Oreochromis niloticus: one gene and its partners. Each later gene encodes a partner of the first gene's protein in a complex. Links are inferred from orthologs where the notes say so. Each region holds a gene or a part of one and is shown on either strand. Other genes may lie near its edges.

Region 1 (7,795 bases):
GCAGCCGTCACCTTAGAAGTCAACAGCACTGAGAGTGCACTCAGTGTTAAAGTTAACTTGATATGTTTATTTTACTACTCTGTGCGTTAAATCACACAGTTAGCTATTTTCTTTAGAATTATCCATCTTATTTGCACAAATGATGCATTTTACTGTTGTATTTTATATGTTCTTCATAGCTTTTTAATCACTATTTTATCATCATCTGATAATATTTTGAGTAGCATAGGCAGCAAACTCGGGGATCCTTTTCTACCCAAAAGAATCATATAACCTACAAAACACCCATTTTTATGTGAGCATGCACAGATCCTGAAGCAGAAAGCCCGGTCTAACAGAAAGCTGATAATCAACTCTGTGATTCCCGTCATCTTCAATGAGGGGAAGGCATGAGGTCACCCGCCTCAAAACTTCAATGAGGTTTTGTTGAACAAGCAAAGGCAGAGAAAGCCTGTCTGTCTTGAACTATGTTAGTAGTATATCTGTCAGTAGTCATCATATCAAAGTATCATACTTTGATACTGCAATGAATACAGAAAAAACAACTCATAAAGCGTGGTAATAATTTTGTGACAGCTTCAACTGGGGACTCAAAAGCACACAACAGAATAAGGCAAATTTTATAAAAAAGGAATGTGTGAGACCAAAATGAGGAGAGTGCTGGGATCCCAAATATTTAAAGTGAATTTTGCCATATGTGAAAGTCTCATAGGTTGTTGGTTGTTCAAAAAAGCCACTAAATCTCTTAAAAACAAAAAAAAGAAAGAACTGTCCAGTTTGCCTATCACAGAAACTAGTGTGGGTACAAATATATAACTTAGCACAGAAAGTAAGGAAATTAGTGTTCGGTTGATTATTTCTTTGTTGGAAGAATGTTGCCTGGCAATAAATCTTAAACCATTAAAGAACCTGTTTATTTCCGCTTAAACGCTGCCTGATGGTGAAAGAAAAATAGAGTTGTGGGTTAAGTAGCAAAGGTGAGTATGTGGGTTACACCAATAAAAACTTGCCAAAACTTCCAATGCCAAACACATTCTGCTACTGACTCGTTTGTCATTTATTGGATTGGATGGGAAGTGTGAAGAAACAAGACACACCGGCAATTTCACAATTTATTCATTTAACAGGGACTTCAGTAGCATGTGGAAGAACCAAACACAGCCACGACAGCCTCATCTCCTCCTCATGCTTGGCCACACACTGCTGTGGGACTGCATCCTATTCTTCAACCAATATTTATTACAAAGCAGCCAGTGTGGTTGTGTTGGTTACTCTGGCAGGACAACCCCCCTTCATGCTGATGCTACAAGCATTCAGCTGGGTTGACATCAGGACTGCTGGCAGATCATTCCATGCTCTCCACACCTATATTCTGGATTTAATCTCTGATAAACTCCACTCTGTGTGGGTTAAGCGTCTTGGAGGACAGAGATTGTTCCCAGACTGTGGAGATATGGATTGCCACTGGTTACAGAAACTCATCTTGATATCTAGCTCCACTGAGATTACCTCCAGTGATGAGAAGCTTTGTTTTTTCCATTGAGAGATGCTGCTCTTCACCGTCACACTGCCTCCACCAAAAGCTTTCACCGTATCGGTGCATCAATCAGCACAGGGTTCTCCACATCCTCTCCATACTCTGACACTTGACACTATGAGCCAACTGCAGTAAGCACAATCTGGACTCGTTGCTGAACGTAACATTCCTGTACACATTCAGGGTTCAATTGCACCCGTTATTAACACAAATGAACCTAACAGTGAAGGGCAGTCACAGCAGGCCTCCTGACACACTTTGTGCAGTCTGTTCCAGGTTGTCTGGGTACAAAACCATAAGAAATATTGTCCTCCAAACTTTGATTGCAAATCTGTAGAAGACTGAGCACTGCACTGACAGTGTGTTTGTGATGTCGTCTTGTTGGGACACCCACTTCACAGCCTGTCTCTGATATCCACCCTCATATGGGACCTGGCCTTCAATTTGGAGATGGCACTAGGACTCATTCAAAATAATGCTGAAACTTAGTCTTGCACATCACCAGCTTGAGGTTGCCCTATGACATGGATCTCATCCAGATTAGTCAAACATGTTGACTGATCAGGTTCATGCCCTGCTAATCAGACATCAGATTGTCCATACCCGGCGTACCAGAAGCTCAAAACAAGAGTAGATAGTTGTTTGACATTGGCATAGTTCTTCATTTGTGCAACCCAAACATGCGATACCATTTAAGGAGAAATAGAAAGGCATTCCAACAGTACAAGACTTATTACCAAGAAGCATTGTTATGACACAAAAATAGTAAAGCAGACACAATCTTCCTGACTTTTTAAGCAAAGTTTATACATTCACAGTAATAAAAATACTTTAAAAATAATATAATGGCGAAAAGAATGATTTGGGTCATTGTTTAAAATTGTGGTCACGTGTTCATGAAGCAGCTCTTAACGCATTCTTTCCAATCCTCACACAAGTTTCTGTAGCTTGTCAAGCTGGACCTAAGATAACGTGATAACGGTTAACGCTAGGCGTGTCCGCGCCCACTATCAACAAGCTAACAGAAGCTAATAGCTAGTGTTCTTTTCTTTTCAGACGCCCCACTTAAATACACCGTACGTAAAGAAAATAGCACTTTAACGCCAACCCTCAAGTGAAGGCCGTTTAGAGGTATACACCCTTATATCAACTTCCCTACAATTTCCTGAAAGCTCGGTGAAAATCAACCACAGCACAAAGGTTGACGATGGCTTAGTTAGCCTGACAGCTGACCAGCTGGCCTGTTTAGCTTATCGGCTAAAGCTACGACACTAACGAGAAATTCACATCTTTACCTTTGAATAAATAATCGTATTCATCGTCTCTAGTGCCCATCGTCTTATTGAGACTGAATATTTAGTCCAAGATATGCTTCGTTTCAAAGCAAATACGGCAATCTGCAGTATTTTACTCTTCCAACGGGAATGTGTTTGGGAGCCGTACTTCCGTATTTTCTTCTTCTCCTTCGCTGCCGCAGAAAACCGGCATAATTCTGACATCAGACATCTAGTGGTCAAAAAATATACTTCCCAACTATCAACTTTTCCGTTAGGGCCGATTTATGGAAGTAAATACGATGCAAAATGCGAGAGCTTGTCAAATAAAAAGAGATAATGTGTAGAAAGAATTTGAACTTGTATTTTCACTTGCGTTTTAAATGTATGGTTACAGAGAAAATATAAATAAATGTGTAAATTAATGTTTGTAATTCAACTTTTACTCATTTATTTATTTATTTACTTTTTTAACTGCTTACAACTACACCTCTGTGGTTACAACCTCTCAAATCAGTGAATACAAGTGCTCAACTGCACCCTCAGAAGTCCCAAATTCATGAATTCTGCGCTTCAGGGGCAGCAGCAAAAACCACTTTAGCTAATAGTAAATGTGCTCGCTAACTAGCTATCCGGCATGGTCATGGGTGATTGCATTTAACATTTTACATATTTAAAATCTATCAACACCAATTTATAAATGCCCCTCCCCCAACCTTCTGTTTAATGCCAGGAGACATGAACCCTCCATCAAAAATGGTGTGCTTACTGTGGTCAGTGAAGATGAAGATTAAAGTTTGAAATTAAAAAAATATATAAAATTTAAATTTTATCATATTTAAAAAATGTTTAAATAACAAGCTAAAGTAATGGAAATATGCTTGTTTATTATTCAGCAGAAAAGTGTCCAGCTGACATATTTTTTGGTATTTTTTTTGTATTTGAAAATAAATGTTGTGCTGATTTAACTGCATTTGTATTGAGTGTTTTTAATTAATATTTTTAAATCATATTTACATGGAGTATTTATATCGATTAAGTAATCCTTTCTGTTTTGGTTAGTCTAGCTTTCCCAGTGTCTTTATTTCTGTTCCACATTTGTTACTGCCCATTTTAGTTTGTAGAGCTAGATGTCTCCTCTGTTTTGCATTTAGTTTTGCTTCCTTGTCTCATTTTTAACTATGTTTTAGGTGTATCTTGTCACCCTCCTGCGTCCATTTCACTTGAGTCCATTGTGTAGAACTTGTAATTCAGGCTGAGGGGACAGTTACCTGTACAGCACTGCTACAGTCAACATGAGGAAGGGCATCAAACAGGCCAAGGAGGTTTACAGGAGGAGGATAGAGGGCTTCCTAACTGATAACAACCTCCACCAGGTGTGGAGAGGCATCCAAGCCCTCACCAACTACAAATGTGCTGACCAACTGGGGGGATCCTCACCAGGCTCTTCAACCTCTCCCTGACTCATGCCACTGTTCCCACCTGTCTGAAGGCCTCCACTACCGTTCTCATCCCCAAAATGTCTGGTATACACAGGCTCAATGACTACAGACCGATAGCCCTACCGTCTGTAGTCATGAAGTGCTTCGAGCGGATAGTGTCGAGCAGATAGTGTCTCACCACATCAGGGACTGTCTACCCTCATCCCTTGACCCATCTGTAGAGCGCTGACCCATCTTGAGAACAGGAAGAGCTACATAAGGATGCTCTTCATGGACTACAGCTCAGAATTCAGCACTATAATCTCAGACATCCTGAATCCAAATTGGACCACCTCCACATCCCCCCTGCCACCTGCTCCTCGATCAAAGAGTTCCTCACAGGACTACGCTCTCAGCGCCTACTGTGTGCCCTATACATCTATGACTGTACCCCAAGCCACCCAACCAACATCTCCGTCCACCCCCCTGGACCCACAACACCAACGTAAAGAAGGCCCAGCACTGGCTGTACTTCCTCCGTGTCTTGAGAAAGAATAACCTAGAAGCTGCTTTCTGCCTTCTACTGCTCCTCAGTGAAGATTGTGTTCTCCTGCTGCCTTGGTGTTTGGTACACGCTACTGAGAACAGCAATGCTGCGCATAGGGTAGCTAACAATGCCCCAACAAATCATTGGCTGCCCCTGCGTTCCTGGAAGCAATCACAGGTGACTCCTTGCACCCCACCCACCACATATTTGACCTGCTGCCCTCTGGTTGGTCAATCAGGTCCCACACCTCCAGAAGCACAAACAGCTTCTTCTCCTGGGCTATTCGGACAGTCAACAAACACTATCCCCCCCACACCCAACCCCTGCCCACCCACCTCACTGATCTGAGCCATGGTCTGAATGACATCCGTCACTCAGGACACTCACACACGGACTCCATTCAACTCTTTGCACTGCTTTAAGCACTTTGCAACTATTTTGTCCTCTGATTTTTGTATATATCTATCTTGTTTGCTATTTATTCCTGCTGACACCTATTTATATTTTATTTTAGCACAGTTGGTGTGGAGCACTCACAATTTTGTTGTACATGTACAATGAGAATAGAGCCCTATTCTGTTCTAAACATTTAAGCTCTGCCTTTTTGTTGTTGTTGTTGTTGCCCAGCGTCTGTTGTCATTCCTGTATATTCCTGCTCATTTCTGAGTGGATTTAATTACCCTTTTCTCTTCAGGGACCTTGAGAGTCTGAGATTATGTTAATTTTCTTTCTGAAACAGAAAACGAGGAGTTTCTTTCAACTCAGGGTTAACAAACTCAGATGTTCCTGGAATAGTGCCCAGGATGTATCAACATGCAGTTTGAAGGAGATCCACTTGTGAGGGTGTTGTTAGATACTTTGCCATGTATTCCAACTCAACAGTGGGTTAGAGAAACCTCACATCTGACTAACAAGAAAGCAAAGAGAACAAGAAAACACGTATGACATGTTCTCCAACTTATCCCATATCATCTCAGTTGAGTTCAGGTTGCCGTGATCAGATATAGCAGCCCATGACACTGCTTCTTGGTTATCATGTCGGATCTTCCAGTCAAAGCCTGTAATTGTGTCATTTGGTAAGAAGATGCTGAACAGACAGTCTCCCCATGCATCTATTAGCATGTAAATATGTGAGCTACTTATTCAGCTCTGTGGCTTGTTGGTCGCTAAGCATGCTGCATGACCATGACAAAAACAGATATGGCGACGTCTTTAAAATGCCAAATAGCATTTTTCCCTTTTTGGACTTGTCCTCAGACTCCCTGCCAAGACTTTAGAGAGCAGTTTTTTAGTGCTCTACACCATTTGAAAGGCGCTCCTCTCTAAACACCACAGGAGAACTTGATACAGACTTGAATTTGACAGTTTAATCAAACTACACAAATAATAATCAACAAAAAACAGGTTTCAGTGATCCACTGTAGAAAGATGTGAACTTTTATAACTACAGTGGAAAAAACCCATTCAATTCAGTTTTATTTTCTTCATATAGCACAATATTACAGTGATGACTGTCAAAAAGCAATTTATATTACACAGTGAAAGACCCAACATTAACCTATGAGCAAGCACTTGAAGCAGGTTAGAGAAAACTCACATCTGCCACAACTTTTTGAACTGATGAGAAAGAGAAAAATCAAAGTTATGACAAACAACAAATAAAATATGGAAAATATGGATATTATCAGTAATATATGAGATGAATGGTCATCTTACAAATTAAATAATTAGTAACTGGCATAAATCTAATTCCAGACAGCACAAAAAATGACCAAGAGATCAGTTCAGTGATTCCAACAAGTGAATGTAAGACAGAGTGTTAATCGGCTGCATTTTTCAGTATCATGGTGCCTGTAAACCATTTACATAAAAAACAATAATTAAAGATAGTTAAAGAATTGAGACCTGCAGATAGCTAGTAGCTATAGCTACCTGTGTTAGCACACTTTATTATTTATTTTTTACTGACTAACTAACTTCTTTTTAAAATCACCCACTGTAGGATTTGGAGTTTTGTTGATTTTGCACTGGCTTCACTTTTTACCCTGCTGTTTGTCAGTTTACTTTACCTAAAACCACAATCTTTTCCCTAAACCTATTATTGCTGGTGTGAGTGGGTCAAGACACTGATGCCAAAGGACACGTAGAAAAATAACAACAGGAGCATTTCTAAGCTCTTCAAAGTACTGGGTGTACTTAGGTATGGTTGTCTCATCTCGTACTGCAGCACAGTTGCCCTTAATGATCCAGGGCCGAGTACGTATCAGTTTGTTTCAGCATCTTGGCTCCTTTCTTGGAGCGGATACACTTTTGAAAAATGTTGTCTCTTCATTGGTTAGGAAGTGGCATACTGTTTTCACATATTTGTTATTTAAACTCAGATAGCCAAGTTTACTATGTCAATATGTCTATTTACTCTGGAGAAGGCTGTAAAACTGAGAAATCTGTCCAAGATGGGTGGATCTATCAGTAGAGCTCACTTCTATCCGATCACAATACTGAATTGAGTTGCTCAGGATATCCTGAATCTTTCTGTCAGTAAGCACTGCCGTTTTGTTGCTGTTAGCTGGCATTCATAAAACTTTGATCTAACATTGTTTGACTCCGACACCTAGAAAATTAATCCTGACATGATGTGACTAGTGATGTGGTTAGCCCATAACCAGCAGCCTCATTGTCAGTTGGTCTTTACTTTACTTTATTGATTTAAATAGCACTCTACACAGGATAAAAACCACAAAGTGCTTCACAATAATGGTCGGAGACAAAGGAGACCACTTGTCTAATCTGCTGACAATAACTCATTGTAATAAATTGTGAGTAAATAAGAATATTTATAAACGTTTTTGTGTGTTACAGCCCTGAGTTTGGTTTAAGAGATCAGGTTTGATTTGAGGATGAAGATTCAAAGGATCTGATGATGTGAGTTAAAACAGGGCTAAGATCAAGACCTAACGTAATGATTTCAAACCTTTTGCCCATTTGAATCCATGGCAGCAGTGCTGAGATTCTTGTC
Region 2 (6,902 bases), on another chromosome or scaffold:
TCTGGAGGTTTTAAAATTACTAGCAACTTCATAGGTGCTGCTGCTGCTTTATAATCAATAAAAAATATCTTTCAGCCACCTGTTTTTGTTATTACATGCTTTATTATTCAAGATTTCTACATCAAGTTTGTAGTAGATTCACATTTGGCCCAATAAAAAAGCAATAAAATGTAAGATTTTATTACTGCAAAAAAAAACCCCAACTATATGCACAAATATATTTTTCTTTAAGTAAAAGTATATTAAGGTGAACAGATTATGTTTGCGCTTGTAAATTTAATTGCAAAACCTTCAGTTTACAGGAGATTTTTTTTTCAATAGTTGGCAGCAGTTGCAGAAAGCAGCAGTTTTGTTGGTCATAAAGGTCATAAAGAGCTGGATTAATCTTTAACAGCGTTAAAAACCTGTCGGATAAATGTACAGTGTGCAGAGTTTGCCTCAGGAATGTAACGGAGCACAAGGGTAAATTTAGTCCACAGCACCTGATGGACCAGTTAACCGAGAGCAGGCGACTGCAGAACAGGATTGCAGAGCCGAAACCAACGAGCTCCTTGGCCAACACATTCCTGCCTGATGTTGCGCTCATGACAAGAACAAAGAGAAATGCTGCTTGATGAGTTTGAAAAGACAGAAATGAGGAAGTGACTGGAGAGCCAAGAAAAACCTAAGTATAGACGAGGCGGTCACAGTGAATGAGCCTGGGTCTGAAACCAGCCTGGATTCACGTGGGTCCTCAGTCACAGTTCAGCAGGGCGTTAGGTTTAGTACAATGAGCACAACACTTTGTTAGCTGTCACACAGCTAAACTGGCTCTGCAGGTGTGGAGATCAATTATGAACCAACTTATCTCCAAGTTGTGTAAAGAAAACCCTCAAATCAACATAACTCAGATTGAAAAATGCTCAATCTTGAGGCACAGGCTCATTCTGAGCATCATTGTTGGGTTAAATGCCAAAAACCTTCCATAAAAAAAATTAAAAACTGAACACCACAATGATACTTCTGTTTAAGTCTTGACTACTTGAACCCAGACTGTTCTCTTTCCACCACTGTTAAGCTATTATTGTTATTATTTTATAAAGATTTCTACTTTTTTTCTTTTTTAAATTAGATAAAATATGTATCCTTCTAATTCCTGCTAATCTAGAATAATTTCACGGTCACAATTAGGGAGCAGCTGGTTTGCTCTGGCTCAGGACCTGTAGGTAATAAATGCTGAGTCAATGATGAAACACACAGAGGAGTGTTACTACACAGTTATGAATGAAACCAAGCCCAGGCAGTTACACGCACTCATTCCTCTGTTATCAATATTAATATTTCTCCCGAGTCCATTATTTTTTAAGCATCTTTAGATTTTCTTTGGTTTATTTATATCCCTTCATGATTATTGATAAACTGATGTAAACGACTCTATTTTTAATGGTTTTTTTCACTGAAATGCTGTAAATGATCTTTGCTTTCAACATTTGAAATACAGCACATTTTTAATTACTCATGAACTTAACTTTTCCTTTAAACGATAACGAATAATACATACTTTTATGCACACATTCCTGCTCATGGAAATGATTATTAACAGTGGATCATTTCGGTTTTCACGAGATGGTCACAAACAGACAAATCAGTCTTTACATGTGTCTCTCATTCTTATAGGAAAGTCTGTCCATATGTTCTGAAGTGTTTTCAGTGTACTGCATTTTAACTTTAAACATCTATCAGACCATCACTGAAAAATAAATCTGCCTTAGAAAACTTCCTTTTCCATTTTACACCTGGACAAAAAAAACCAAACAAACAAGCAAAAACAGAAAAAAACTCTAAACAAAAACAAAACAAAATGCGGCAGAATGCAAGAAAGTAAAACTTACCCATAAAATCCTCGCACGAATCATCCTGAAGTTCAAACCAGAAGCTGGACAGATGATTTTCCTCCTTCACAGAGAAGGCAGCAACATCAGCCTCTAATCTGGCTGGAAACGATAGTCCGAGCTCCGTGTGCGTAATGACACCACCCGGCTCGTTACGCATCACTTAAAAACACGGGGAAACTCCACCCCCAGAAGGGTGTGTGTGTGGTTTATTCAGGTGTGTGTGACACAGTGGAAATATATTACACACACACACACACACACACACACACACACACCTCAGAGTATCATAGGGATGGGTTCAGAAGCAGTAGGACATGTGAGATTTGTTTTGTTTTGTTTTGACATGTAATTGAACTCATCACATTCCTATCATTCTTTTGGGACTGCATAAAAAAAAAATCAACAATAGAAGAACAATAGAAACAGTTTAAATCAAATATAGATCAGCCAGCTCCCCGAATCTGCATCTTTATAATCTTTATATATCTATATCATATCTCCATATTACACAGTTACAGAGTGACATATGTGTGTCTCTGTTTTACAATAAAGACTCCAAATTGTGTGTAAAATACTTAAATTTAGCTCCACAGTCATAAAACGTAATATGACGTCAGTGACGGGACTCGCTGTGCTGCTCACTGAGTAACTGTAACTTACAGATTACTCGGGTTTTGAGCACCCTGATTTTTTCCCCCCAACTTTATTAAGACTGGCTGACATCAACGCAGAATGACAGAGCGTTAAAATCGTTCAAATACACTCAGTTATACAAGTATATTAAAATGTTTAAAAAGGTGAGGCTTTTTTTATTCTTGTTGTCCATTATTGAGTAAATATTTTGCTTTATATAAAAAAGTAACTGGAGAACTTGAATTCATGAACCACTGTTTCCTATTGGTTCCACAAAAAGTATAATTTAAATTGATATCACCTTCAAGTCTCTGATGGTAGTGGTTAGTTGGATAGAAGCTATGAAGCATTTTAAAAGAAACGTCCTTCATTGGTCAGAAAGAGTTCTAGTGGTAAAAACCAGACTTTGTGCCACCATTTTCCACAAATCTGGACCAGTATGTTTGAGAGGAGGGCGAACATGTGCAGCCCCGAAGAAACAGGATCTAGTAGAGAACAGCTCCAGAGACCCGAGGAAGCACTCTGATGGTGCGGGTTCGCGTCTTCGTGTGTTCAAAGAGCGCACGCACAACAAAACATAGCGCGTCTTTAAACTTGGAAAAACGGGGCTTGTTTGCCCCCTGGTGGCTTTTAATTCTTCTTCACTGTTTATCTTCATCCTCACACACAGCCTCTCTGACTGGAATGAAGTGAACATTTAAAGATTAAAACCACTGGAGACCTTAATCTCAAGGAATATACCACCTGTTTGTTCATTTTTTCCCTCATACTCAGGGACCATCAGGGAATACTATTCCCATTCCGAGCTACAAATTATTATTATTATTATTATTATTATTATTATTATTATTATTAGTCGTAGTAGTAGTAGTAGTAGTAGTAGTAGTGGTAGAAGTAAACTTTCAATTTTGTTTATTACAACTTAAACTTAATAAACTTGGATTTTGTCACTGAATATTATCTCGTCCCTACTATATATTTGAATCACTTAAAAAAATAATTACTGTGTGTGTTTATTTTATTTAATTATTAATTTTGTGTTTTCACAACTTTAACATCGTAAATTTAACATTTAACAACAATTTAACTATCATAATAGTTATTCCCCTCACTGAGCGATATTTTTATTTTATGATATATTTCATATATTGTACCTTTAGTTGTATAAATCTTAATTTTTATTCTCTCCGAACATTATCTCTCTGTCCAAGCACAATATTTTATTTATTTAATTATTATTATAATTATTTTATTTTACAACTTTTAGTTCATAAGTCCAGACTTTTTGAGCTTCATATTAATTTGAATTGTTTTTTCTTAGTCTTTATTTGTTTCTTCTTTCACGCGCTCTCTTTTTTTTCTTTACAATTAAATTAAATGTAATGTAATTTTATTTGTTAATGGGCCTAATGCCGAGTAATGAATTCCTGCTCTCTGCACTGTGACGAACTGCTTGGCGGCTCTGTGGTTTCCCAGCGGACCGTGAACGTACCTCCCGTCAGTTGGAGCTCCGCTCTGCGTCAACAGCCGCTCCGGTGAGTGTCTCTCCGTTTGTTTGTCTGTTTTTCGGGCTGTTTCGGCACGTTACCGTTAGGAAGACTGACCGACTGGGCTGCTGTGCACGCGGAGGTCCGGTGAGTCCACCTTTAAGGCCTCGTTACAGTTTTTATTTTAATCCGTGAGTCGCTGAGTTGGGCGAACTTGCTCAGCCCCACTAGCTTGCGTGCTACATACAAAAAGCATCGATGCGCCCATTATCGGACAGCGTTTCTCCTCTCTCTCAGCATCACTCCGTCACTCTCTCAGTTTTCTGTGTTTTAAAGCGAATCCGCAGTTTCATAAATCCGTGCATTCATCTGTTTGATGTAATCAATGAAATTAGCTAGCCGTGGCCAGGCTTAGAGCAGTGGCCGATAATGGAAGCAGGGGTTCCCTCTGCAAGCCATTCCCTGATGTTTACTGAATGAGAAGGACGGATGTGTTTGGGTTTTGTTTTGTTTTTTTGTTTGTGTTTTTTTTTTTAAATAGTTCTCTTCTTGTCATGTGCTTCATTTCCGTGTTTTAACACACCTGTGCCCACACTCACCCTACTAATGTCAAGTAATTGGCCAGCTAACGTTAGCTGCTCAGCTAATCCTTAGCCCGATGTAGCAGCGAAACCCGAAGCTCCGCGCAGAGACGCCGCTATCATGCATCTTTCAGACAGCGTCAGGTGACAGCCCTTAGCTCTCTAACTTCAGCCCCCCGCAGGTGCTCACGTATTAATGCATTAGCATAATAGGTAACGTCACTTAACGTGCTATCCGCGGCTAATCTATTGCTAGCTGTCCACAAGACACCACCTGAGAGCAGGAGTAGCTCACCTGGAGGAATGACCTCCAGCGTACAGGTGACACTGTAAGCAGCCCATCTGGGTGCAGGGAGAGCTGGAGGTCGGGTAAATGAGCAGAGACGCTGTTGCAGGTGTAAACTCAGGTGATATTTGTGCACATGCTGCAGTTTTTGTGCTGAGCTGGTTTCTCTGAAGTACTACAGTGTGTCAGGACCACTGAAGGTAAGAAGAGGAAACCCCAGGGCTCAAAAAAAATTAAAACCTGGCAGATTTATGAGAAAAAAAACAGTACAAATATAGACGACAACACCTGGCACATTTATGGCAAGAAATGAGAAAATTTATCAGGAAAACCTGGCAAAATTTCAAATACAAATTGTACATTTACACATTTTATGAGAATTAACCGGCAAGTTTTCAAGTGAAAATTTTTAAATGTACAAGAAAACAAATGTCAAGTTTGTGGGCAAAATAGGAAAATGTACGAGATAAACTGGCCAAAAAAACCTTAAGTATATCTGCAATTAAAAGAAAAATCTATTTAGAAAAACTACCAAATTCACACAGAAAAACTTAAATGATTAAAAAAATCCAAATTTGCAGCTTAATTAAATTTATAAGCAAAACCCTGCAAATTCACAAAAAAATTCCATTTTTGAAAATAAAAATATCACATTTCCAGTTTTAGAAAAAAAGGCAAATTCTTGAAGAAAAGCTGGAAATGATTTATTTTTTAAATTGCCAAGTAATTTTTAAAAAAATGTAGAAAAATGTGTGAATAATTACCAATAAATGAATGCAAACTGACCTCCCTTTGCACTTTACATATCGAGGAGTAAGTATAAGAAATCTACAGGCTTAATCCTATTATTGAACAGACCCAAAAGGATTTTAACGTCTGGCTTGTTCTGCTCAGTCTTTAAATCCTGATAATTCAGTTGATACATCTGATTATGGGAACAACCATTACCTGTACACATCTGTAAGCACACAGAAGTTTCATAGGCTTCTGGATCAAACAGGCTCTGTCAGGCCTGGTCGTCGTATGTTTGGTGAAGCAGGTATTCCTTCAATGGCTGTCTGTGCGAGACGCTCTTATTTTTTTGGAGATGTATTAAAGGACGGCGTTCACCTGTTCTTCTTTCTGTTAAATGATAAATGCAGGTCAGTGCCACGGAGCCCCGGCACCTTTATTTTGACCCATTTGTCACCGCAAACTGTTGATGGTGAGCTTTTCATTGTTGTGGTCAGTCGAGCTGTTTGGGATTCGCGTAAACACCGCCACTGAGACACAGGATGAGCCTTCATCGGGCGGCCCGAGTAACCCGGTCTTTGCACGACGTGTCGGGTTACCACGCCAAGCTCTCTAGGACTGGTCTCTATGGCGACAGGCAGGCAGGGAAGAGGAGTCAGGTTGTTTTTAATGAAGGTGGAGTTTCACCTGTGTGTGTTCATGTCCATCACCATGTGTCATACATCCTGGATGAGTTTGTGCTGATGTGTTTTTCTTGCGGCACAGTGTCAGACATGTGAGCTGTCTTTCTTTCTTTTATATTAATATTTTATGGGATGAATAATTAAACCAAAATACCTTAAATTATCTAAAATCACCATCTTTTGCAGTATTTGATTGTTTCAACTCTCTTTGTTGGTTGGAAGTTGTGATTGGTTGGTGGAATTTGGCTCTTTAACCTCTGACAGATATATCCTAATCTGACATTACTTCCTGATTTCTGTGCCCCGTGTTTGAAACCACAAACCTCCTCAACAAACCACACAAGAGGAAACAGGAGATTCATTTATATCAGGTATCATCAGCAGTTTTTTGTAGTCTGATGTCTGATTGGCCTTGAATGCAACGTTAATGCCTGCTGTCAGCTGCATTCCAGCATCAGTGAAACTCGGACCAAACAATGACACGACTCAACGTTAACGGAGTCCGAGACACGGCATCACAGCTGAGGATCATTTCCCAGCATGCCTCACTGCGGCGGGAACAAAACCCCTAATCAGGCCTAATGACGGGCGCAGAAGAAGAGATGACATGATGATACTGACGGAGA
Region 3 (7,644 bases), on another chromosome or scaffold:
CAATTCATTCAATTTATTTTATTAACTACTTATTGTGGAAAAGTAAAATTCCCTGTGATTTAATGGACATTAAAATGTGTTCAGAATTTGCAAACTGATGATCATTCACAAAAGTTAAAAGTACTGGTTTGGTACTGGCAACACTGGCGTTGTATTTACTTTGTATCAGGTCAATACCAATACCAATACCACAGCACTAGTGGAAGACACATTTTTAAAAGGTTTTATTATTTGTTGAGCTTAAAGATCTGTCATTACTTTTCTGTGTTAATAAATACACAATGTACACTCGTCAATATTTAGACAAGTGGAAAAAGGCGAGAAGCAGGGTACAGGGTCTGTGATAGACTGTGGCAGTCCAATTTAGAATTAACTGTTAACTGCTTTAGACTGTGGGAGGAAACCCACGTATGCACAGGCACATGTGAAGATTGCAGAACATGCAATCTTCACACAGCTGACCAGGAGATTTAACCCTTTACCAATGCGCTAAGCAAATGTATCAATAAGGTACATTATCATTGCTTTGAATTCAGAAAGGTGCTTGAGGATGAGACATGTAAAATCCCTCCAACTGGGAGTGCTGAAGGTTGCCTCCTGTTGGGCATTGGTGAAATATCTTTAAGAAGACACATCCAGGACATCAGATGCCAGAAGTGCACTCTGATACCAGAATTATCCCTGAGATCTCATTGTGTCACTATCTAGAGCTACTGAACATAGATGAGTCCTGGAATGTGTTGTAAGTCGGCTGTTAACATTTTCCCCATGACAGTCCTGGATGCCTGGACATGATCTCAAGCTCATACCGTGCCTAACTGTGCAATGAGACTCTCCTGCTACCAATGCTCTAATTTCTACACTAGGGATAACATAAATAATGGTGGCGTCAAAACAGTGTCTCCCAGTATACCACAGGTCTGGGCTTGGAAATGCTGACCCTTGTTTCAATCACAAACAACATTTGAGCAAAACTACTTCAACAGCAAAAATCTAAACTATAATCCACAAGTCAGCAAACTAGACACAAGACAGCCATAAACACAGCCGGGCACAGGGCAAGACTATAGTAGAGGCCCATGCCCTCTGGCACAACAATTCTTCTGTTTATACAAGCATCAAATAGCTCCAGGCAGCAGTCCAGCTTCCATAACACCTCTTTACATAAAAGACCTTGTTTTGGAAATGAAGAAAAATAATTCTACACAGCTCAATACATGGTAAACTTAATATATACTTGGTTTATAATAACTAGGTTTAGAATGTGATGACAAAGCCAAATGTTATCAAAAAGCTGATTAGAGCCGCAGCTTTAAAGTTACCTATTTCCTTCTACATGGTCCTGCTCTTTACTTCTGTGTAAAGCACAAGTCATGAGAGGATGATGCAATTTTTTTTTCTAGTGTTAGTTTCACTTACTTTTTCTAAGGTTATGAGGTAGAAATCAAGACCTTTAGGGAGTCACCGGGCTGACATGTGGCCCCAGCTTAGCGGCCCTTTTTAGCTCTGCTCGTCATGCTGCAGTCGCACATCTGCACCTATATATCAAAGCCATGCACAAAAACATTCCTGAGAGCAAAGCAGGGGTGATTTGTGTGCCTTTCTCCTTCTTTTTTGATTAAAATTCATCTGTGATCTGACTGTTCGCTCAGCTAAAAGCTATACCTTTTAAATCAGTCATCCGTCCAGAACTTTGACCTGCACCACATTAAGACCAGCACTGACATCACAACTGTTTCCCCTCTCCCCGCCGAGTCTCATGCCTCTTTCATATATTTTCTCTTGTCCTCGACAGATGGACAACCTTGCAGCCAGAGATTTTTTAAGTGTTTAATAAATGTAATACAACCTATATAGTGTTGAAGAAAGGGCCCTAAACCAGAACCATGTGCGGGAAGTGGATGGCGGCCGTTAGGGGCCACAGCTAATGTGGTTCAACATGTGGACCGGGCCATGCTAGAAGGTTCACTTACATGTTGGACAGTTTATGACCTTCAGCGCTGTTCCCTCAAAATGTAGACAGCGTCCTTACATTACTATTCTCTAGTTTATAGCGTGATATTTTGTTTTTAAATGCACCTCTCCACGAGAGGAGAGTAATAAAAGGATACAGGTGATGTTGGAATGCAGTGTCTTTCATGTTTTTATCTCACAGAGAAGAAGCACTGTGGTATTATGTTCATAAAGGGGGTAATATATGAAAATGTTTGACTTATTGTCAAATTAAGGGGAAGAGTGTCTTGACCCTGGTTGTTTATCTGCATGCCTCTGGTTGTTATTTCATTCAGCTCGGTCCTGACACTGCTAACCACAACAGACAGTGAAGTGCTCCTGAGAAGGAATGTGAGTAGTGATGCGACTGGATAAATCATAAACACTTGGAAGTTACCCAGCAGCTGTGCAGGGCAATTGCTCAAACTGAAGTATTATCAGATCTTGACCTGAGTTGTAAACAAAAATCAGCAGACTCCCAATGGTTTTTGCGGTTTTGTTTTTCTGTAACTTTGCCCCTGCTTAAAATCAAACAGTTACAAATCTAAGATGTGTTTCTTTGTGGGGTTTTTTTTTTTTTTGCTATTGTATTTTAACCCGTCACTGGGTCAGTCATTGAGAACTCATGCTCTGCAGTCACATTTTGCACAATCCCACTTCCATCAAATGTCTAATAGGAGTGTGTCACTTGGATAAAAGCTTCTGTCACAGCTAATGCAATTTTATATTCTCGCTGGGAGACTTACTGAGCTCTCGCTCCCTCAGTACAGCAGCCAACATACTGAAAGAGCCGTCACACCAAGGACACCATCTGTTTGACCCGCTCCCCCCTGGTAGAAACTTCGGGTCCATCATGTCACAGACGAACAGATTTAAGAACAGCTTCCACCCTCATGTGAGAACTGAACACTCCCAAACATTTAGTGACTGCACTTACATTCCTAAAAAACTGCACAGATGTGCCCATATCTCAACTGCTCGATGATCCAGCAGTGCAATATCTCAGCTGGCATTCATTGCATTGCATAATTATTTATATAATTATATTTATATCATTACTATCTGAAATTAGCTGATTTTTACATTGTGACTGGTGCATGTGGTGTGGATGCACTTACAGGTTTTGTGCTCCATTTCTGCTGATAGACTATAAAACAGGGTAGAGAAATAAAACAGACACTGTGTTCAGACAATAATCTTTGACTTTGTTAAATCAAGTGAACTGACTACTATATACTCAAGAGTCTTTAGATAAAATTTACATTTTGCAAATTACAACTGGCCTGCTAATTTCTAGAAATATCCACAATGGTCTACAACTAAATGGAGTGGGATTTCATTTGTATTATGGATATGTGTTTACACACGTCTAAACTAGTTACACAAACACATCAAAAAGTTTGATAAAGATGCATTATCCCCTCAAAAGGGTACTTATTAAGGTGTGTTCGGAAAATATACACAGGATGCTTTATAATATTACATTTATTATATTTTATATTTTGTAATTGTTTCTGAAAACTTAATATCCTAAATTACAGCAAAGGTTTTAAAGTCTCTAAAGCTATAAAATAAATCAAATTCAAATACGTTTTAAGATGAATACGTTAAAAAAATGGCACAAAGCAAGTGGAATACATATTGTTACTTTTTTAGCAGAGTGGATCATACCCGGCCTTACTGAAAAAAATCTTCCAGCTAAAGGAATAACTTGAAGAGGTTTGTAGAGAAAACAAACCTGAAGGTGCACATCAACCTCAATAAATGTAAATATTATATATGCTATATTTTAAAAAATATGTTTTATGTATAAATCCGTTTTAGGTGACACAAAAGCCTTTTTTCCAAGACTAAATGTGATATACAGGCTATGGCCAACATTTTGCCACTTCTAAATGCTTTAAAGCCACAGCTACAAAGAGACATTGTACTTTCATATTCACCTAATGGAACAGCTAATGTAAAACATGAGGGTGAGATCCACGAATGTATTAAATGCTATCTGACTCACATTTTTGTACAGCCTAATATTTCACTAAGCCTTAGCATTTCATTCAGAGATGTACTCTAGATAAGTGCAATAATCTCAGTTTGATGGATGGCCCAGCCGGAGCCTAGGGCCAGTGGTGTGTACATACTGCACTGGTTGCGGCAGAACGATAAAAACCCACACAGGCAGGTGTGTTTGGTTAAGATGCACTTGTCAAGTGGGGTGACAAGCATGTCTGTGTTCATTCAAGTGAACCCCTTATCGGTACCTCCATGTCCCACTCATGAGACAAAAGCACTTCCCATGTTTGTATGATTTACCTCTCAAGAAAATGCGCGAGCACACGCACGCTGTGCACACACATGCGCAACAATATCTCACAGAAAGTGTGTTTGCTAGAAATTTATACATATTTATATATCCTGTCATTGCTGCTTACCTGTACAGTACACCCACAACCCAGCACCAGTACCGAGTATGGAGAACATTCTTCGGTTATGCTGAATTTGTTTTTGTTTTTCAACTTTTTCTTCGTCTTTGGATATTTAAGCAGCTTTCATTGATTTTTTAAAAAAAAATATTCTTTCACCTAATTCCCTTAGAACGCGCGAGCGAGCGCTACCACCTTATTTTGACACCTCAACTTTCACCGGGGTGAGCCGGAAGTGATGTCAGACTAGGAAGTAAATCTCGCCACTGGCCGTCAGCAGTGAGCAGTAATGGACTGCAACAACAGCAAGTTCAGCGAAGATTAGCCGAAAGTGTCGCATGAGTGTGTTTGAGGGAAGAGTTTGTGCCGAGCTGAAGCGCTGAATGTCCGTGTGGTGTTGGTGAAAATGACACCGAGGTAAGAAGCTGTGTGCTTGTGTGTGATGCTCTCTGTGTGCTCACCAGCTAGCCGCATAATGCTAACGTTGTCCTCCAGTCTTAACTGAATTTACCCCTAACAAAGCTTCACGAAAAAGTGACAATTTAATATTGCCTCGCATCATTTAATTGTTGTAATCAGTTTAGTAATATTTACTTTTGACAAACCTGTGGAGAGACGCTCACTTAAAGGGACATTGCATCTTAATGTAACTTACATGGCTACTTACACCACTTCTTTCATGTATACCTGCATCAATGCGTCATCTAGAGTTATCTAGAGCCACAGCCCATGACTGCTTTACTTGAATATGTGCACAGCTTCTTAATCTCAGTCAAAACCTCTATTTTCAGTCTAAACTAATTTGAAAATGATACATGAAACGGTCGCTCTATATCCCACTGAGTGACTCACTAATTCAGTGACAATGACACCAAAATGTGTCACTGGATGAGATCATCAATATCTGCCTTGAACCTCCATCTTAGGGACATATATTTAAAGATATTGTGCAAATCATACAGTGCAAAATGTGATTTCTGCTTAGCCGTATTACTTCCAAAGTGGCTGCCATCAAATTATTAGCAGGCTGCCTGCTTTAATATCAGTTTTCTCTGTGTCTTCATAAGCCAGGCTTTCATTCTTGGCAAAAATAATGATGTTTTCCTGGTTCTTTCTGTTCTGTTTTCTTGCAGATGACTCAGCAGTGGCTTGGACATCTGTGATCTGACAGAAGATGAGACTTGCTCAGTTTGTCAAACTTATGGTCCACTGTAGAAAGTGCTGCTAAACGCTGATATCAGACTATAGTGAATCATGATTGCTGCTTCTTGCATGTCACACTCACTGAAAAAAACTGCTGCATAAATTATATTTGACTTTATTTTGAATGGATTTCAGTTAACAGTTGGTGCTTACAATGTCACTGGGCGAGCAGTCTCAAAAGTGGTTTCCAACCCATGTCCAAGCCACTGTTCTTCAAGCAACTGGTTTACAGGCCAAAGGCAAAAATGGCACCAATGATGCCTACACTATCATCCAGCTGGGCAAGGAGAAGTACTCAACATCAGTGGCGGAGAAGACCCTTAACCCTGTGTGGAGGGAAGAAGCCTCCTTTGAATTACCTGGCCTACTTTTGGAGGGCAACCCAGAAGTGTATGAACTCTGCCTCATAGTGATGCATCGCTCTCTGGTTGGGATGGACAAGTTTCTGGGTCAGAAGTGCATAAATCTTAATGAAATCTTCGATAACAAGGAGAGAAAGAAAACAGAGTAAGTAATAAAAGTGTATTAAATATCACAAAACATCACAAAGGTTCTTAGGGAAGTTTTTTGGGGACATAATCACTACTGCAGTGGGCTCTAGAAGTGATCCATTTATCCTCATTTTTGAAGAAGATTATGTTATAACCATGTGTTTTTGCTCTCTGATATATATATATATATATATATATATATATATATATAGACACACACACACACACACACTTCTTGGAAAATATAATTCCCTCAGATTTTTTGGGACAGAAATACTATTATTAGCAGTTTTTGCAGTCATTGCAAGGTCAATAGTTTCCCTTCAAGAGAAGACCTGGGCTGGTTTTAACACTAACACAAATCATGGGACATACAGCACTTTTTTTTAGATAGTATAGTTCTTAGACATTAGCATCACATGTACATTATTCAGGGTCTTTAGTCTGTAGTGTCTTGTTGGTATAGAGACAGACCTTTGAGAGGAAGTGGAAAATATTTCCACAGCCTTTCCAGTCATAAGTGGATTACACCATGAGCTAAGTCAGTTGTTATTTGTCACATTTGCCACAAGTATTACTGCCATATTAGACTTCACAAATGTGCTGTCTTTTGCATGTTATATTAGGCACTGTGGTCTCAATTAAGGTCATGACCCAACCCTGTTGCGCCACATGATTTAAGTACCATAGTGTTGGCCTTATTTTCTTTGTGCACTTGCTTTAGAAATACACTTTATTAGATACACAAGTTTTAATGTTAAGAGCAGAGTAAATGAAATGCTCTAACAGAAGCACTTCACTTTAAAACTATTTAGCACACCAGTGACACACTTTCATGCTCAGTTAGCAAGGACATGTTGGTTGTACTTTTTTTTTTTTTTTTTTTTTTTTTTTTTTTTTTCCATCTTCATGACACTGTATTGTTTGAGGCTTAGCAATGGATTGGCCTACGCTGCAGAGAGATTATTTTAGAGTAATTACTGACACCAGTTGACCTAACTGAAACTAGTGGAGCTGGACAAACATGTCTTGTTAGCCACTCCTATACTCCATTTTTTGTTTTTGTTTTTTCAAAGGTGTGAATGTAATATGGGCTCTCCTTCAGAGCCAAAGACGCCTGGGATTAAATCTTGGCTTGTTTCTGTACAGTTTAGTTTCCCTCGTGTTAAAATCTGGCCTCTATGCATTGTGCCTTTCTTGGTGCAAAATACATTCAAGTTTGGAAACAGATATTTATCTATGCCACTATATTGGTGGACAATAGTGGGCGTCTCTCTGAGTCATAATTGGGTGACTTGTTAAGGCTGCTTAGTTGCCTTCAAGTAAAGCCATGCCAGAATAAGGTTTGTCCTCTTTAAAGTTACTGAAAAAAGATTTGAGGAGAGAGATCGATGTATAGATGTACATTCAAATAAACTAACACAGTGTAAACCATCAGAGCTTGGAAAGACTCTGCTGTATTTGGCTAAACTTTGGTTGATGAGCCTTAAAAGTCCAACACACACACACACACATTTCTTAACCCTACATTAAGCAAA
Region 4 (7,312 bases), on another chromosome or scaffold:
CCATTCCAGAGATGGTTTGATTGTTTCTGTTTATATTTTTTTCATTGCAATGAATTTTTACGATGTGATCGGTATTTTTAAGACTGGAAGAAGCCGCTGCCCCTAATCTCGGGGGCAGGGATCCAAGCAGAGAAGCCCACCCACCTCCTCCACCCTTTCTAAGACAGCAGGGAGACATAATCTGTCCTGGTCTGTCCTGGGGTGTCCTCCCTGATAGATAAAACATAACACGGTGAACAGGAGGCGTCCTGGTCAGATGATTGAGCCACTTCAACTGCCTCCTTTCAGTGTAGAGGAGCAGCAGCTGTATCAGCAGCACGTACGGTCCAGCTTCACAGGTTTCACTGTTACTGCTGCAGGAACACAGACTCTGCGCTCACAGGTTAAACATATGGACAGGTGCGATGACAGGTGTGCACCTCTCTTCTGTCCTCTGAACATACCTACAGCCTGCCGTCATTATTTACAGTTAGCTTTTTAAAACGTAGCTGATCCAGCGTCCTGTCTACAGGTGCTGCTGCAGCTCATTTCCCCCTTTTTTCCAATTATGACACCTTTACTACGAGGTTTTCATCCTGAGACCAAAACCTGTGACAACAACTGTCTCAGCCAGAGTTTATGATGTCACTTAAATTAAAAAGGATGAAAGAAATGCGGTTCAGTGAAGCAAAACAACATAAAACAACACGGAAACTTTAAAATGTGATTTTAGTAAGAAGCTACAGCTTTATAAACATAAGCTGTGGAAACATCCCATCAACACAATCTGAAGCTGTAGGCTAACTTTAGTCTACAGAGTCTAACCTAACCTAACCTGTCAGAGATCCTGCTGTCACTTCTGCACAGTCCACACATTAAATTTTGCTTCAGTTCAAACTGAAAGGTCCAAAAGTCAAAGTGAGTTTGGTGCAGAAGAGCTCTACGACAAAATGACGGCAGTTAAAAATACATCTGGTGTCAGAGTCAAGGCCATCATTATCAGCAGCATGTAATAAAATGAAGCATCAACAGATTAAAGTCGGCTTCTGAGTCACTTTCTTCTCATAACAGCATGAGGAAGAAGACTCACTGAACTCCAGCACTCAAACAGCAGCACTCAAAGTTTTCAGAGAATGAAGCAGAGCCCAAGATCACAAAACAAAACAACCTGACAAGTTTTAATTCTCATCTCTCACAAGAAGATCTCAGAAAAAAAGCACAAAATTAAACTCACAACTTTTCCCCCTGCTGTAAATGCTGACGTAAGAAGACACTTTTCTGCCTGATTACAGTGGTTCATGAGACTGTACAGACTGAAGGACTACAGTGGGACTACAGTGAGTTCTGCTGCAGGAGGAAGCTCATTTAGTCTTTGCATCTCAGATTTCAGACAGCCTGATTGAGCAGAGGTTTCACTCAAGCTGAGGCGAGGTTAACAAGTTCACAAACATTCAAACAGGTTCCTGCTGAGTTAATAAAGAGTCACAGATTAGACCGGGAACGAAGCTCAGATTAAAGAGTAGAACACAACAAAGTCGAATCCTCGAATCAAAGAAATCCAACCATCAGAGGATGGACAGAGCCCAGCCTGACTGAACCCACAACACTGCTGAATCCTACAATCCCCACAATGCATTAGAGTCTCTCTGCTTTTATTCTTTTTTTATTTTGTTTTGTTTTTGTCTGAGCATTTTCTTCCTGTTACTCATCAGCTGTTTTATGTTTTTATTCTCTCTCCCATTTCTGCCTGTCGGTTTATGATGCTGAAGAATATTAAGCTGGAAGACAAACACAACAAATTTAATGATCTGACTGTGTGCATGTGCGTGTGGCTGAAGGATGAAGACATTAGATAAGACAATGACTTCATCTCTGATTTTCTTTTGTTGCTTATTATAGAAAATGAGCTTTAATCATTAATCACGGATGTGCAGGTGAGCAGATGATGGGCTGTCAGTGATCTGAGTGATGAATCATCAGTGAGTGTAATAATGCTGCTTTTCCAGGCTGATAACAGGTTCAAACTTCCAGCAGAAATCCAGCTTCCGGTCTCGCTCTGAAGGTTTATTCAACCAGTGATAATTCCCTGATCACAGAAACCGTCAAGCACGGCCTCACAGACAGCCTGAGTCCTGTGAACCACTCTGAAATCCAACACGGGTCCCTTTTAACTCAATCTGCGCCTCCTGCACCTGTCCGCTCAGCCGCACGCAAGACTCCATTCAAAAATTAGCCATTTTACAGTAAAGTATGCATTCTGTGGAATTTCTTCGGTAAAGTCTCTTTACTTGGCGTTATCCAGGCTTTACCTGTTCCTCTCTTACATTCAGCCCAAATATCCCCCTACCCCACCTCTGTAGCGTCAACATTTATAGCTCCAACGTTACTTCACTCTCCACTCGCAGCGCCATGTACTAATGTTCCAACACAAGTCCCAACAGGTGACTCATCTCTTTAAAATCTGAATAAACACCGTCAGGTAACATAAACCATGCTCAGAGTTTAGTGCAGGTGAGACCTGAGCGGCTAAAGGCGACGCAAGTGACGGGGTTCGGGCTGGAGCTGCTCCAGCAGGTGCGCGTCTGTTTTCCAGGTGAAAAGTAAACTCACCTTCGTGTACAGCTCGTTCACGGACATTGTGCCTTCCCGGTGGATCAAACTACACTAACAAGCTCCTCTTGTGCCCATTAATGATCCATTAGAGTCCCTCTGCGCTCCGGTTCGGTCCTAAACCAGCAGAGACCTTCCAGTGCGCATGCCCCGCAGCAGGTGTCTGGCCGAGTTTCGGTCACTTTGTTCGGTGTAGTGTCGGTCCGAAGGAGCACGCTCCCGCTGGTGTTTCCTCCGGTAAAAACGAACCCTCGGATACTTTAGGGTAAACTCAGAGCCGATGAAAAGTGTTAGAACCGGAAGAAGGATCCCGAAATCCAGAAAAACGGAAACGAAAAGCCTGAAGCGACCCGCAGGTGGAGGGAGGAGGCCGGTTCTTCCTGACAGCCGTGTTTTCCCCACACTGCCCGCTGATTGGCTGATCCCTGGCTCCAAGCCAGGTTTCAACCACACACACACACGACGCGGGGTGCTTCAACGTGAGGCGTGGCGCCCCACAGAGGGTCCTGAGAGAAACCTGAGGGGTCCTTTTTTTAAAAAAATTCCCAAGTTAACATTTTATTTGAATTTCTGTGAATACCAACCCTGTAAAAGCATCAACACTATGTCAGCCTCTCCAAAATTCACTGCCTCACACAGTCAGATCTGGTACAGATAGCTCACCACTGTTCAGAAATTAGGAAGCCTTGCAAAATATTCTGAACTAATTAATACAAGACTGATTGTGTTTGTGGATCCAGTGGAAAACGGCAGCAATTCCACTGCCTGTTTATTCCAGTATATAGAATTATTTGTGTGGGTCTAAGTGAACAGAGCTAAACCGCTAAAATAATCACTCCTAGCTGCTTCTCTAAACTCTGAAAGTCCGAATTTTATTTCACTTATTGCAAATCCAGCGTCAATCATGTGTATGAACTGTAATAAAACAACATATATGACTTTCAGTCTTTCTCACAGTAATTCAGAGCGCCATATATGGAGCAGGAAGACCCCACAGTGGGAATCCTCCAACATATGAGAAGCTCATTGGTAACATACATACATAAAACAAAAACATACTTTTGTCTGCCTGCTCTCCAATATTCTTCCACTCTTCACCAAACTTTGTATATATTATAATCAATGACCTCTAAAAACCTAAAACTTCTTTTCTGTGATTGGCTGACACACCTTTGTGGGTGTGGCCACTTTAACGGTCAAACTGCTGTAACTCTTTAATGTTTTATCTAGTTACAACCAAATCTGTTTATAAAGGTCAATATTATAAATACAAACTGCTGACCTTGTACCACTTTTACCACTAAGTGCAAGGGTTTATTTATTAAGCAATAATAAATAAAACTATATAAACCACAATTAGTCAAATATATTTAAAAAACGTTAAAAATATAAGTAAAAATAACCAAAATTAGCTGTCTAAGTAAGCATTGCAAAATATTGGAATTGTGGTGCTGTCACAATAGCACCATCATTTGGTTGATTAGAGAACTACCCTCAGAGGAACTTACATTTTTCTATTTTTAATCTTTCTTTTGTTTGTTGATTATGTTTTCTTGAAGGCTCGGAGTGACAACTAGAATGTCAAACAATCAGTCACAAAGAGAAGACAAACAGACATGAAAGCAAACAGGCTGCACACTGTGAGAATTAATCATTTAACGCTCGTCCACGCCTCCTCACCTCACAGCATTCATCCAAACGTGTCGTGTCATTCTTTCCACACCTTAAGCTTTGTTCCACTTCAACTCTTTGTGTTTAAATTGACCACAAAAACTGAATGCAGTGGAACCAGAAAGAGGCCAGACCAATCAAAGCTGCAATAATGAGGTGGGATGTAAAGAAATCCTGTGTTAACACCTGGTTTGTACTTAAGAATTTTTATGTTTCTTTCTATTTTTAAATGCAAATCATGTACTTTATAAATCCATTTATTTTACAGTAGGAGTTACACTGTAGGCTGAAACCAGCAAACATGTCACATGTTACACCTTAATCCGATGTAACCTGTGCATGTCAGTTAGCCTGCAAGGACAGCCGTTAAAAAACAAAAAAAAACAAAAGCAAAACACTATTAAATGTTATTTTGGGATAAAGTCCTCAGACTTGGTGACCACTGACGTAGAATTTATTACTGTTGACTCAGTCTTTTAAATAACTGCCAGGAGGCATTTCCTAGTCTGTGGCAAGATGAAGTGTCAGCCTGCACAGCTGCAGTTCCTCTAATGACCACTTGAGACTCCAACGCTGAGTCAGTCCCCATAGTCTCCCATGTTAAAATGTTCGGCTTTACTGCAGAAATAACATGTTTGCAGGCTGATACAGGAAACTGTTTTGTTACTATAACCTATTTCTCCCTTGTTGACTTTGTGAAGATTGTTGGGTTTGATCTAATTATTACAGTTTGCATTATTATGGTGGTGAGAGGTGGCTGTAGCTGCCGCGTTCGTGCTGCTGGAGGCAATTATCTGACCAATATCATGGTTGCTGTGAGTTTAACTATTGTCACAGATCGGCAGAGAAGTCTGAGCTCCAGTTTTAGTAAAATTCTAGGAATGTAACTTGGTGCTAACATGCTAGCTAGCATTGGGTGGTCAGTTTGCACTCCGCCACCTCGTCTAAATGTGGTCACTCCAGAAACAAAAAACTAACACAGCAGGATTCAAAACCAAAGGGTGCCTAAAACTAGTCTGTGCATGAGACTTTGTAGACATAAATCTAAAAATACGAATCTGGAGAGAAATTATGCCTTGTTATTACAGATGAAGCTACACAGCAGCATAGAAAGTAAACAAGCTCCAGTCGTATTATTAAAAATACAGTGCTTTTGCTTAGATGATATTAATACTTCATCACTAAAAGAGCACTACGCTCTGCTTCAAGATTTTGGGTCTCTTTCACTGTTAATGTTTTGCTTCAGTGCAGTAAGACTCCATCCAGCTGCACTATGGGAAATGTAGGATTTTTGGCTGCTTTCTTTGTGTCTCATCCAGGCCTCTAAGAATCCTTCCAACTAACTAATTTATCCTTTTCTCTTCAGACATGTTGATAAATCTCTCACAAACACAGTCAAACTAAAAATTCTATCGAGCCAGAAAAAGTAGATATTTGACCTTCATGCTCCACCACCCATCACATTTTTTATTTCCTGTAATAGCTCCTCACAGACATAAAATTTGAAAGTATAAAGCTGGTTTTACATAAAATGTTCTCATGTAAGTCAGACTTTTCCTTCTGATAACACATCAGTAAAGTGTGTCTGTTATCAGAGATGTTGTGTAATGCCGACAGGCTGAACGTTATAGAGAATATTTTGTGTGAACATTAACCACAGATATGAGCTCTTACAGCAAGTACAGAGGCGATAACGGGTCCTTTACCTTGGAGTAGGGGTAATAATCTCCACTCATCCTCTCCGGCTGATAAATAGATCCTCATGTGCTGAAGGAAGCTGCATCAGATCCTGTGACAGTGATTGTGGGAAGCAGCAGCTCATCTCAGACCTGTCTGAGCACAGCTATTATTCTTACTCAGCTAATGAGTCCACTCCCAAACCACTCCTTCTGCTGGTATGAGGTGTTTACCTGCACATGAATCTGACAAGACGCCGGTCCACCCACAACAGGCTTTATCACGCTGCCACAGCCGTGAAGGCTGTGAAACACAGGCGTGAAAAAGAACAACAGAGAACTTCAACAGGCTGCACACGGAAGAAGAAATCTCACCAGAGGCTGACAGACCTGTGATTTTCATTAATGTTCCTGAACCTGTGCTCCTCTGACATCAGTGAAATATAATGTGGCACAAGCATTCATATCACTGTTTTCCAGCTCTTTGTTTCATGCTTGGGAACAGAGGAGCTGTGCACGATTAACAGTTCAAAATAATCTTTATTGGTGCTGCACAAATCACCGTTCAGTCCTGTGGTCAGTCTTTGCAATAGAGACACAGTTAGTTACACAAGAAAATGGACAGCATAAACATGTAAGCATTTTTTTTATTCTTTGACTCTACAAGGGTAGCTGTGCATGATTCAGAGATTTGGATGAGCTGATTTCTTTCACCAGTTTTCAGAGGTGTGCTGAGGGACAGCAACAAGTGTTTAAAGCTTACTTCTTAGGAATTTGGCAGCTGCCATGTTACTTTCTGTGGGACCAGAAGCGACCATATTTGGAGGAAAGGGTGGAGTTTCAAGAAAAATTCACAGAGGTCAGAGATCAGGTGAGCAGTAGACTCATTTTGTCAAAGACTTCTATTCAGTCAGACTCCCTTTTTGACTTCTTTTTCCTGCATAGTAGGAGGAGTGCAAGACTTCACTTTACTGACCTAGATGCTGTGTCCATCTTTGATATACAGTTTATGTTTGGTTTACAAACACGATCAGGTGAAATAAAGATGAACTGAAATAAATGAAAATATTAAGTGAATATGTTATTCAGGTGATTTCAGGTCTGCAGAGACCGTTTTTTTTTAAGTCATTTTGACCTTCAGGTGATTGTTTTGCTATTTCTCAGCATTCTTAAAAAAACAAAAACAAAACACTGTGGTCATGCTGAGGTGTTCATGTTATTCTGTCCATCCCACCTCCAGCTATGATGTAATGATGAAATGATGCAGAGTTTATTTGTGCTTGCACAAGTTTACCTATGAAAACCTCAGAGTGTGTCAGAGTGTGTTAGTGTGATATTTCCTTAACACGATGATTGAATAACTTCATTAACACAAA

What was found.
Region 2: the proteins of ras-related protein Rab-11A (region 1) and rab3ip are in contact, whole or in part, in a crystal structure (PDB 4UJ5), measured with the Homo sapiens proteins. The link is inferred for Oreochromis niloticus from reciprocal best matches to the Homo sapiens genes RAB11A and RAB3IP. Residues at the interface, in NP_004654.1 of Homo sapiens: Phe36, Leu38, Glu39, Asp127, Leu128, Arg129, His130, Leu131, Arg132, Ala133, Pro135, Thr136, Leu156; in NP_783322.1 of Homo sapiens: Asn367, Thr368, Leu369, Ser370, Ile371, Glu372, Pro373, Asp412, Arg424, Thr428, Cys431, Asn432, Thr435, Tyr439, Leu444, Val445, Lys446, Gln447, Gln448.
Region 3: the proteins of ras-related protein Rab-11A (region 1) and rab11fip2 are in contact, whole or in part, in a crystal structure (PDB 2GZD), measured with the Homo sapiens proteins. The link is inferred for Oreochromis niloticus from reciprocal best matches to the Homo sapiens genes RAB11A and RAB11FIP2. Residues at the interface, in NP_004654.1 of Homo sapiens: Arg33, Ile44, Gly45, Val46, Glu47, Phe48, Ala49, Thr50, Lys61, Trp65, Arg72, Arg74, Ala75, Ile76, Ala79, Tyr80, Arg82; in NP_055719.1 of Homo sapiens: Glu478, Ile481, Asp482, Asn483, Leu485, Val486, Met489, Glu490, Pro493, Ser494, Leu496, Arg497, Val498.
Region 4: the proteins of ras-related protein Rab-11A (region 1) and myo5b are in contact, whole or in part, in a crystal structure (PDB 4LX0), measured with the Homo sapiens proteins. The link is inferred for Oreochromis niloticus from reciprocal best matches to the Homo sapiens genes RAB11A and MYO5B. Residues at the interface, in NP_004654.1 of Homo sapiens: Leu11, Lys13, Arg33, Glu35, Ile44, Gly45, Val46, Glu47, Phe48, Ala49, Thr50, Gln63, Trp65, Glu71, Arg72, Tyr73, Arg74, Ala75, Ile76, Thr77, Ala79, Tyr80, Arg82, Gly83; in NP_001073936.1 of Homo sapiens: Ile1627, Gln1628, Gly1629, Leu1630, Trp1706, Met1710, Arg1713, Tyr1714, Ser1717, Gln1718, Glu1721, Arg1724, Gln1745, Leu1747, Gln1748, Leu1749, Lys1750, Lys1751, Glu1755, Ala1759, Leu1763, Tyr1779, Glu1786.

The regions. Positions count from the first base shown.
Region 1 is NC_031965.2:5,551,859-5,559,653, reverse strand, and holds the start of ras-related protein Rab-11A, read right to left. Parts: upstream 3,022-7,795; 5' UTR 2,873-3,021; coding exon 2,833-2,872; intron 1-2,832. UniProt on the Homo sapiens protein: The small GTPases Rab are key regulators of intracellular membrane trafficking, from the formation of transport vesicles to their fusion with membranes.
Region 2 is NC_031981.2:19,555,653-19,562,554, reverse strand, and holds the start of rab3ip (rab-3A-interacting protein), read left to right. Parts: upstream 1-3,890; 5' UTR 3,891-4,042; exon of another isoform or gene 4,043-4,141; intron 4,142-4,593; exon of another isoform or gene 4,594-4,719; intron 4,720-4,823; exon of another isoform or gene 4,824-5,061; intron 5,062-6,902. UniProt on the Homo sapiens protein: Guanine nucleotide exchange factor (GEF) which may activate RAB8A and RAB8B. Promotes the exchange of GDP to GTP, converting inactive GDP-bound Rab proteins into their active GTP-bound form.
Region 3 is NC_031978.2:25,621,623-25,629,266, forward strand, and holds the start of rab11fip2 (rab11 family-interacting protein 2), read left to right. Parts: upstream 1-4,636; 5' UTR 4,637-4,829; intron 4,830-5,545; 5' UTR 5,546-5,769; coding exon 5,770-6,122; intron 6,123-7,644. UniProt on the Homo sapiens protein: A Rab11 effector binding preferentially phosphatidylinositol 3,4,5-trisphosphate (PtdInsP3) and phosphatidic acid (PA) and acting in the regulation of the transport of vesicles from the endosomal recycling compartment (ERC) to the plasma membrane.
Region 4 is NC_031972.2:36,569,773-36,577,084, forward strand, and holds the start of myo5b (unconventional myosin-Vb), read right to left. Parts: upstream 3,009-7,312; 5' UTR 2,617-3,008; coding exon 2,590-2,616; intron 1-2,589. UniProt on the Homo sapiens protein: May be involved in vesicular trafficking via its association with the CART complex. The CART complex is necessary for efficient transferrin receptor recycling but not for EGFR degradation.